2 linked regions of the Drosophila melanogaster genome follow. The protein of the gene in region 2 binds, or shares a complex with, the protein of the main gene of each other region. Each region holds a gene or a part of one and is shown on either strand. Other genes may lie near its edges. The genes, in order: SWIP and CCDC53.

Region 1 (6,751 bases), on a different chromosome or scaffold from region 2:
CACGTCGTCTTCGGCGAGGTCGTCGAGGGACTGGATGTGGTCAAGAAGATCGAATCTTATGGATCGCAGTCTGGCAAGACCTCCAAGAAGATCATTGTGGCTAACTCTGGTTCTCTTTAAGAAGGTGCGATGCAAAAGCAACAGCAACATTGCAAGAAGAAAAATCTGTTAAGACGAAAACCATTTGCATTTTCTCCAAAACATTTTTTTTTACCAATTACTGTACTGTAATATTACGAGAAAAATACATAACAAACCAACATATTTTCAATAGACATGTTGGGTTTCCTTTGGCCAATCAATTGTATGTGGGGGCCAAAAGTGAATAGAATTAGTGCCCACCAATGTCAGAAAGCGTTCAATTGGCTATATAATATGCATTAAATCTGTAACTTTAACATTTCCATTCACAAAAAAAAAAACAAAGAAGAAAAACAATGAGACGACAAGAGTCGAGAGGGGCTTAGAAAAATGTTTGATCTTTTGATGTTGGCTTACTTACTACTAATAATAGTATTAGTAATGCTGATTATCTAATTGCATATATATATATATATACCAACGTTCTACGCTATGTACCGGAATCGGAATTGTATTTTCGTCTTAATAAATCTGAATAAACGGCAACCAACTACTCAATTGTTTGTTGTCACTGCTGGGATCTTTGGTTTTGGTAAATGGACATATTTTATTGGAAGAATATTTCGGAGCTACTCAAGGTGGCGTACAATAGATTGTATTCATGCTCGTAGGCGTTCACATGTCGTTCGGTTATCGCCACTGTCTGGTGAAGCTTCTCGTCCAGCTGCTCCGGCGCCGTCCGCTGCTGGCCCGCCAAAATGTCGCGCACCTTGGAGCGCTCCGCGTTCAGGTGCTGCGTGATCGTCTGGCTCCAGCCCAGCTCATGGAACTCCGTCTGCTGGTTCAGCATGTTGAGGATGTAGACCAGGCCGATGGCGAAGCCATCCTCGAACAGCGAGATCTTGGTCTGGTCCTTTTTGTAGATCTTTAGCTTCTGCTTGACCCGGTAGTCAATGTAGTTCATGATGAGCGCCGGTGTGATGAGGTAGAAGGTTCGCAGGTGGTGGTTATGTGGATTGCACAAAAAGGGCTGAAAGCCTTGCAGAAGAAGCTGCAATATAAATCCATGGGTTAAGCTGGTTACCTAACTTGTTAAGATCGTAGACTGCACCTTGAAGTAATTTGTGCTATCGGAATAGCACTCCTTCATGTGACCCAGGCTCTTCTCGTACTCCCTGATGGAACCCTCCGTAGCCTCGTGCACTTTGGAGCCCCCGCAACTGAAGTTGCTGTCGAATCTGGTTTTATACGAGCGATTCCGGAAGTTGGCATTCTTGCTTCCAGCCTGCAGGAGGCGCACATAGCCAACAGCGTTGCCTAAAAGCAATATTTACGTTTATATTTTAAGCATTTTCTTGAATTATGGTCTTTAACCACCTACCGACTTGTGTGATAACCTTCCTGAAAAGATCCATATACGTCTCGCCATTGCTGGAGCAGCCTAGCCTTCTGATCTTCTTAAGAAAACTATCGGCGCGCTCATAGGGATACGACTGATAGGACTTGCTGTGCTTGTGCTCCGTGTGAAAACGCAGCTCCTTGAGCAGCCGCGACTTGATCTGCTCGTCGTGGAGGAAGGTGGAGAAGGTGTAAAACTTTTGGCGCAAAAACTGGTATATAAAGTTGACGGTGGTGTTGATGATACCGGTGCCGTGCGTCTGCACCGAGTTGGCCACGTGCCGGGTGCCAATGATGTCGAGGTGCTTGCTCCTGCTGTTCGTCTCCACGAACACCTGCAGGTTCATGTTGTAGGCATACGAGGAGGCGAAAGTGTGTATATTCCGCATGATCTGCAGCACGTCTATGCCCTTGAAAGTGGGAAAGAATTGTTTGGTTAATAGAAGAGATTGCTTATTGATGATTCAATTGGTTACCTGGTCAATTATCTGATTGGGCAGGTGGTCATCGATGGGTTGCAGCTGCAGCACCTTGTTGGCCAAATGACGCATCTTTTCATACGATTTCCAGTCGTGCGGAGCGATTGTCGTTAAGTTGTAGAACGTGGCAGTGAAATAGTTCTCAAGATGATCTAAAATATGTTAATGAATGGCATGATCTCTCAGTTTTGTAACCGATATCTTACCTTTTATAATATTGTAATCACCATCGTTTTCAACTGCAACTGCATTGATGCAGAGACGATAGTCTAAGGCACTTTGCTGGAATGGTTGATCCTGGCTCTGGAAGAGATGCGAAAGGGCCTCCACGCGCAGAAAGAACTCCAGGTGGTTGCTCAAAAACTCAATGATCAAGTCATTCGCTGATTGCTTGGGACACCTTGAACCCCTGAACATGGCCATGATCTTGTCCAGATGATGGCTCACCGACACGAGGTTCTGCCGATGATAAATGGCATAAACATGAAGTTGCTTTGCCAGAAACTGAGTAAGAAACCAACCTGCAAGGAGTAGGGATTGCGTTGGAGTTCGGTGTACTCCTTAAGCACCGAAGTGTCCAGAAACCAGTGATTATATACCAGACTCGAGGACTCCGACGTGTTAAGTTGTCCACCAATATTCCGCATAATGTCGCTGATACTATTAACACGATGTAGGATCGATTTGATCAACTTTTGATTGTCGGCGGGCAGGAGGCGATTATCTAGAAACTCCCCGAGGGCTAGATTTACGAAAGTCAAACGTTGCTTGCTCGGAAATCCCATAATGGACTTCTCGGCCAGCTTTATTGTGGCCAAAAAGTTGATCTTGCGCTGCAGCAACTTGAGGACAACTATCTTCTTTTTCGTTGTGTGCAGCAGGTGTATGACCTTTTGCTTCTGCCATTGTATCAGTGAGCTGATAAAGCGCACGAAATTGATTTGGTTTGACTCAAAGGTCTTCTGAATGACCTTCAGGTACTGCAGCAACCGAGAGACGACGATCCAATCGTTTCTGGTCATGGGCGTCATCAGAGCCACGTGCCGATTGATCAGCGCGACTGCCAGCAGGTTAACTTGATCGGCATAGGAGTGTCCATTGAGAATCAACTGCAGAAAAGTCTTGAGGTGTCCAAAGACTCCCACATCGAATACCCTTTGCATTTGGATGGACCACAGCGATAGTTGGACGCCCAATTGGCGACAGGTCCTCTGATCGCTAAGCCTAAACTTCTCCAATACTGTGCTATGAACTTTTGGGCCTTGTCCATCTTGCGATCGGGCTGAAGACTTCATCAGGGTTTTGGCATGTAGAGAGAGGAATCCGGAAGGCGACCAGAAAACGCTTCGGTTGAGAGGCACCTGCTTATGCCTGGCCACCAAATCGATCACATTCTTGACCAGTTTTCCCTCCATCTGGATGCCTAGCTCATGGACGACGACCACGAAGGTGGTAAGTCGAATAATGTGCTTGGGATCCTCATAGTTTTTAAGTTCGTTACTCGGATTCGCGTCGACGTCGAGAAGCTGCCTACGAATATAGGCATTGGAATGCTGGGTGATGGGGCTAACACTATTCAGGCCAAATTGCTTCTTCAATTCCATCAAATTGTCCAGTAGAATCTGTTTGGAAATATCCATGAAAGGGCGGTTACCATTCACGTTTTTCTTTGACTTACCCGAAAGAAATCCTTGGTGATCAGATTCTCTATATCCATTAGCGATGTACTAAGGCCATTGAGCTCCAAGTTCGCTGATTGGCTATTGGATAGGTTCATCAGCCACTTCTTGTACAGCGCCCACATGGTGGATATCTTCGATTGGTTCGCCAGTTCATTGAATACCACTATGTGTTCCAGTAACTCACTCATTGCATCAAAGACAGCCTGCAAGTTTCGACTTCAATTGGTTACTACACTTGAGATGTGAGTTCGATCGTTGACTTACGAATATGTGGACTTCATTGATGTCCATTGGGACGCTAACAGATGCGGCTATTTGTCTCCAAAGGTTTTGGAGTATCACAATCATGCGATTGAGCAAGAAGTAAACCTGGCAGAAGAAGTCCATGGAGCTGCTCATGCGGACCAAGGATCCCTCCAAGCCGGCGGAACCCTCGGATGTGTGGGTATGTGGCGGGAGCGTATCATCTAATCGAAAGTCGCTGAAAAGGAATGCCAGCTGGAACCGTTTTGCCTTCCTGGACAGATTTCTGCACTGATTGCACAGATTCGCCAGAGTTGTCAGCGGTTTATTGGCCACCAGCTCCGATTCCTCAAAGCTTCTGTCCGGAGCCATGGAATCGTTGCCCATAAAGTTTACCTCGACCACGGGCGACATATATACACACTGTGCAGACTCGGAAACATCCCGATTAGGCACTTTATCTCGCAATAATTTCAATTTCCCATCGTGCTCCGATATGAAGGAGCCGTAATCCCGTAGGATATCCTCGGCAAACATAGCTGAAATAGAAAATATATAGATAAGAATAGTATTCCATAGCTGATATCGGCGTTTTCATACACATAGAGCTTTGCTCTTCCTTCATGTCTACCAATTTTAAAAATATTATTGTTTTGGTTTTCTCATGGCAAATTTAGGGATGGGGCATTTCAAGTGGGTGGATTCCGATTCGATAACGCTAAATTCTCGATATCTTTTGTTTAAACAAGCGTAGTTAAAACCCAAAAACTGTGTAAAATCGAAAATCGCGATTAATTGAATGGAAAAGTTGGTAGCATGTCTATTCCGATAAATGATTTATTTATACAATTTATAAGCAAAAATAATCCTCAGATAATAAATTCATTTTATTTATATAAGAAGCAATATAAATTTTTGATTCAAGAAACAGCGGTAAAAATACATAATCGTAATGACTATGAATATATGCAATACCTAGTTTTCATTCTGACTTAACAAATTAAATCAATTTCTATAAGTTTGGTTATCGATTTCCAAGGATTAAAATCGTACTCCTTGACACGAATACCTGTACGTCGCAGTCTATTTTTAAAACAAGACTTTTGTCCATAAACAAATTTAATTTTGATATTTAAGTTTTGGACTTAAATGTTTTGTAGAATAAGTTATTTCGGATGTCTTATCATAGAAGTTTTGTTATCGATAACAAAAGGCTTGTCGTGTATAAGGGCCCTAAACAGCGTGTATGCATTAGTGTATGTGTACACACAAGCGTTGATGTTCCGTTTCCATTCGTTCCACTGGCCTTACAAATGCCGAGCAATAAAATCGCGTCGTATTTTATAAGTCATTGCAGGAATTATTTAATTTGAGCCTGAAAGCAGTTTGACCAACTGACTAGGCAAATTTGGTTGTGTACTACTAAAAATTTATAGGAATAATTAGTACGGCATGGAAACGTCTGAAATAGGTTGATTACCAAATTGATTCTTAATGGAAATTCTTGTTTAACCATTTTATACACTTAATTTTCAGAAAAGGCCGGCGGCGACGAAGCCGAGACCTTATCCGAGCCACTCGAGAAGACCACAACAGACACGGCCGCAAAAGCGGAGCTAAAGGAAATTCAAGATACCAATCCCGACGCAACCAATTTCGAGCCAGTATTGCCAGAGAAGAGCAAGAGCAAGTCTCCTTCGCCGGCACCCAAGAATGGTGATGATAATGCCGAGGCCATCGCCGATCGCTCGCGTAGTCGCAGTCGCAGTGCTACCAGGAAGAGCGCATCCCGCTCCAGAAGCGGATCCCATAAGTCCCGCAGCGGATCGGTGCACTCGGCAGCCAGTGGCCGGCGTTCGCGCAGTGGCTCCAAGCAGTCGCTAAACGGTTCCCGGCGGTCGCGGAGCGGCTCCGCTCCGTCCCGCAGTGGCTCCCGTCATTCTGGCGCAGCACCGGGATCGCCTGCTGGATCCAGACGTTCGCGCAGCGGCTCTAGACGATCCCGCAGCGGTTCTAGACAATCCCGCAGCGGCTCTAGGCGTTCCCGCAGTGGATCTAAGCAATCGCACCGCTCACGCAGTGGGTCTAAGCGATCCCGCAGTGGATCACGTCGCTCCCGCAGTGGCTCTAGGCGATCCCGCAGTGGGTCTAAGCAATCCCGTGGTGGATCGCGCCGCTCCCGCAGTGGGTCTAAGCAATCGCGCAGTGGATCACGTCGCTCTCGCAGTGGATCTAAGCGATCTCGCAGTAGGTCCGGTTCTAGACGCTCAAATGCATCGCGGAGCGGTTCTCGACGTTCGCGAAGCGGCTCTGTATCTAGACGATCTCGCAGTGGATCTGGATCAAGGCGTTCTCGAAGTGGCTCTAGGCGATCGCGCAGTGGATCTAAACGCTCCCGAAGTGGCTCCATTTGCTCCCGGAGCGGATCCAGGCGCTCTCGTAGTGGATCGGCGCGCTCTCGCAGCGGATCTCGCCGTTCCCGCAGTGGTTCTAGACGCTCACGCAGTGGCTCCAGACGTTCTAGGAGCGGATCGAGTCGTTCGCGCAGTGGTTCGGGCTCCAGGCGATCGAGGAGTGGATCAAGACGATCCCGCAGCGGATCCAGTCGCTCGAGAAGTGGATCTAGTCGCTCGAGAAGTGGATCCAGGCGCTCTAGAAGTGGTTCTAGACGTTCTAGAAGCGGATCCAGGCGCTCTAGGAGCGGTTCCAAGCGCTCTAGAAGTGGATCCAGGCGCTCCAGGAGTGGATCCAGGCGCTCCAGGAGCGGATCTAGGCGCTCCAGGAGCGGATCGAGGCGTTCTAGAAGCGGATCCCGCTCCCGCAGCCGCTCCATTAGCGGTGGTTCGCGAAAGGGTTCCCGGTCTCGTT
Region 2 (3,279 bases):
GGTCCACAAGCTGCACAAGGTGACGCAGTACAAGAAGTCCAAGGAGCGCAAGGGAGCTCAGGGCAGGCGTCGTTACGACAGGAAACAGCAGGGTTTCGGAGGTCAGACCAAGCCCATCTTCAGGAAGAAGGTAAGTGCCCCCATTCGTCTAATGCTACCGGGATCGCTTGCCGCCGGATTGCCATCGACACTAATGGCGGCTAGATTGGAATCCCTGGAATGGCGCTTCGTAGAACTAAATCGCTGCGCTCGTTGAGCATTATGCTTTTTGGTGGGAAAAAACTGTGCCAGATCAAAACTGTTGTTGCACTGGTGCGGCCGTGAAGGCAACGTTGTGTGGCATCCATGCCCACAACGCCCCACCGGCAACTTCAGACAATCCAAATGAATTCATGACCACCATTTGTATGCCGCTTGCTAACTGGAGTTCTAATTCCATTTTAGGCCAAGACCACCAAGAAGATTGTGCTGCGTATGGAGTGCACCGAGTGCAAATACCGCAAGCAGACTCCCCTGAAGCGTTGCAAGCACTTCGAGCTGGGCGGTGACAAGAAGCGCAAGGGACAGATGATCCAGTTCTAGGCACCTTCTTTACACCATTAAAAATCCTTTTTTCGCTAACGAAGTGGTTTTATGTTGTTTTCGCGTCGCTGCACGGCGGCAAATAAAACAAAATAAACTTGTAGACGTAAGCTTTAAAAAATGTTTAATTGCAAGGTGTAGCAACATGTGCTATATCACAAGATCAGATCACGCTCTGCGCCAGGCAGCTCACTCTCGCTGGCCATCCGCCAGGATCAGATCGGGTGTGCTGCAATGGAAATGAGCTTGATGAGCTTTCAATTTGGCCAAACCTCTCCACGGAACTTACTCTAAAATACGCGGCTCCAGACCTTCGGATTGCATTTTCTGCTTAACCGCCGGTGCGGGCACACCCACTTGCACCATTTTGAAGAACTTTCTGTAACGTTGATCTTCACAGGCGCGCACACCAACCGATTCAGGCGGGAGTTCCGGCTCCGTAGGATTCTCGGTGGTCGGTGGTTCCGTGGTGTCCACCATGGATGCTTCTTCGTTGCGTTGCTGGTTTGATATCGCTGGCGCTTCGGTAGCCTCAGTCGCTACATGGTGCTCGGTGGGTATAGACGCCAGCTTGGCCTCCAGGATGATGAGGGCGGCCTCCGTCTTCTGCAGCTGCCGTTCCATCTCCACGAACTTCGTCTCACAGCCCAGGGCAAATTCATTTAGAAAGGTGCAGGTGCTGACGAGGAAATGGTTAACGAAGGCCAGGATGCGTTTCTGGTTCAGCGGCGGTATCTGGAGGAACAGAGTTGAGAGCTGCAGGTGCAGTTCACCCTTGAATATAAGTCCCATACCTGGGTCTTGTCCACATTGCCGGTGATTGCTGCAGTTGCATCCATTATTTTATTTTCACCAGCCGTCTTTTATTTTAGTACTTTTCTGGGTTGCCAGGCTGACTGACGATACTAAATATTGTTCGCTCAACATCAAGCTGATCCAAAAATTTGGTATTTCTCACGTAACTTAACACAGTTAACTTGGCGCCTAGTTTAAAAATGAAATAGAACTGAAGTTTCTTTCAAAAAACTTGTGTGCATATTTAAATGTTTTGAAATTTCATTTTTAAAGTGAAAAAAAACGAATAATATACATAAATACATAGTTATAGCTTAGAAACCCATTCAACAACAAATCCACCATTTTGTTTTAAATATTTTATTTATTCACTTTATTGTATCTTAACATGAAATGTGTGAATGTTATTTCTCCGAGTATTATGCACTTCTTCGTCAATTTATTATAAAAGTATCGTTCAGTTAATATGCATTTCCTTTGACATTATTATTTATATATGTATGTATAAACTTATGTGCTGGGTGTTCCATTAGGACCTGGGACCTTCTCACTATGCTCAAATCTACAATGAACTTTTATTTTGACTTAGTTAAATAATGCTTATCGTGCCCATCTCGGCGTCGCTTTCTGCGGCTTAAGTATTAGTTGGAATGCCAAATCGGATCCGCGTTTTATTTATTATTTGTATTTGTATTTGTTTGGAGAATTACATTACTTTTTGTTAGCAATTTTTTTTTTTTTGAGAATTTCATTGCTGATCCGAATTCTCGGTCTTTGTTGAAACAAAACGCATGCGTGCAGCTTGTGTTTGTCGGCAGTGGATTTGTAATGGTTTGTAGAAACGAAAATGCTTTCAATTCTGTGCGGTGTAGTTCGCAAAACTGAGTTAAGAAATCAAAAATGCTGCCAGCAGCGAGAACGGTTCGAAAATGAAAATGCCAAGTGAAAGTTATTAACTTTTGCCACCGTTGCAAACGAGAACCAGCTGGTCTACAACGTTCTCATCACTGAATCTGAATAGTTTGTGCGCTGTTTGTGAGAATTGTGAGAAATCAAAAGGCAGACGCAAGTCACAGGGCTTCTTTTTGTAAAACTTTATTTAAAATAAAAATACACGGTAATAAAAAATCAAGAATTTACAGTTAAAATTAGAAATCAATAGTTTTATGTATATATATATACATATATATATATATATATGTATATGTGAGTGGCTGCCCCCGATGGTCGTCCACAACTATTTTAATTATTACCATTATCATTCATCATCGGCTCATCAGAGTTTCGGATCACCGCGGTAATCCAAAAGGCGATTCGGATTCTCGATTGTAACAACTAAGGCGTAAATTAAAATACGTAATTTAAATAATAGAGGATTTGCTTGGTGTACACAGATCGCAATCGTTTTTGATTCTGATTCGTCGGTTTCGAATATCAAGTTTTTGGGTGTTTTTAAGGTTTGTGGAGAGTGTCGGTCGGTGAAAGGCTCACGTAAATGTAATTTGTAATAATAATATAATAATAATTGGTAATACTAAAAACTAATATTGAGTTGCTCGGCGTTCACGTTCAAGTCACATATCTAAATCTGTTCATTCATCGTGTTATTAATTTACTTGATTAAAATTACGAGTACGCATCCATGGTAAGCGAATCTATTTATATTCAACTACGAAATCCATTGGATCAGCGATTGGCGCCAACATTTTGTTTGTTTTGTTTGTTTGTAACTTTCTTTCATTCGTTAATACTAGGCATAAATTAAATAAATAGCTTAGCATACGTTTATAGCTTGCCTGCAGTTATTATTTATATCTCATCCTCACATGGTCGTGGTTAATCCATCAAGCATTGCGTACTCCCCTTGGTAATGACAATTGAAATTATATAAGCATTCTGCAT

Evidence for each region.
Region 1: CCDC53 (region 2) and SWIP share a complex: the UniProt entries of both Drosophila melanogaster proteins name them as parts of the WASH complex.

Annotation. Positions count from the first base shown.
Region 1 is NC_004354.4:16,311,551-16,318,301, reverse strand, and holds SWIP (strumpellin and WASH-interacting protein), read right to left. Parts: upstream 4,594-6,751; 5' UTR 4,484-4,593; intron 4,423-4,483; 5' UTR 4,421-4,422; coding exon 3,905-4,420; intron 3,844-3,904; coding exon 3,637-3,843; intron 3,581-3,636; coding exon 2,480-3,580; intron 2,418-2,479; coding exon 2,165-2,417; intron 2,111-2,164; coding exon 1,956-2,110; intron 1,890-1,955; coding exon 1,463-1,889; intron 1,399-1,462; coding exon 1,193-1,398; intron 1,133-1,192; coding exon 689-1,132; 3' UTR 552-688; downstream 1-551. Other genes in the region: Cyp1 (cyclophilin 1), read left to right, coding at 1-120; CG9915 (uncharacterized protein), read left to right, coding at 5,336-5,354, 5,420-6,751. UniProt on the Drosophila melanogaster protein: Acts at least in part as component of the WASH complex which may regulate wash nucleation-promoting factor (NPF) activity and is required for its membrane targeting during endosomal sorting.
Region 2 is NT_033779.5:8,039,291-8,042,569, reverse strand, and holds CCDC53 (Coiled-coil domain containing 53), read right to left. Parts: upstream 1,465-3,279; 5' UTR 1,422-1,464; coding exon 1,377-1,421; intron 1,318-1,376; coding exon 872-1,317; intron 812-871; coding exon 772-811; 3' UTR 691-771; downstream 1-690. Other genes in the region: RpL36A (ribosomal protein L36A), read left to right, coding at 1-130, 445-582. UniProt on the Drosophila melanogaster protein: Acts at least in part as component of the WASH complex which may regulate wash nucleation-promoting factor (NPF) activity and is required for its membrane targeting during endosomal sorting.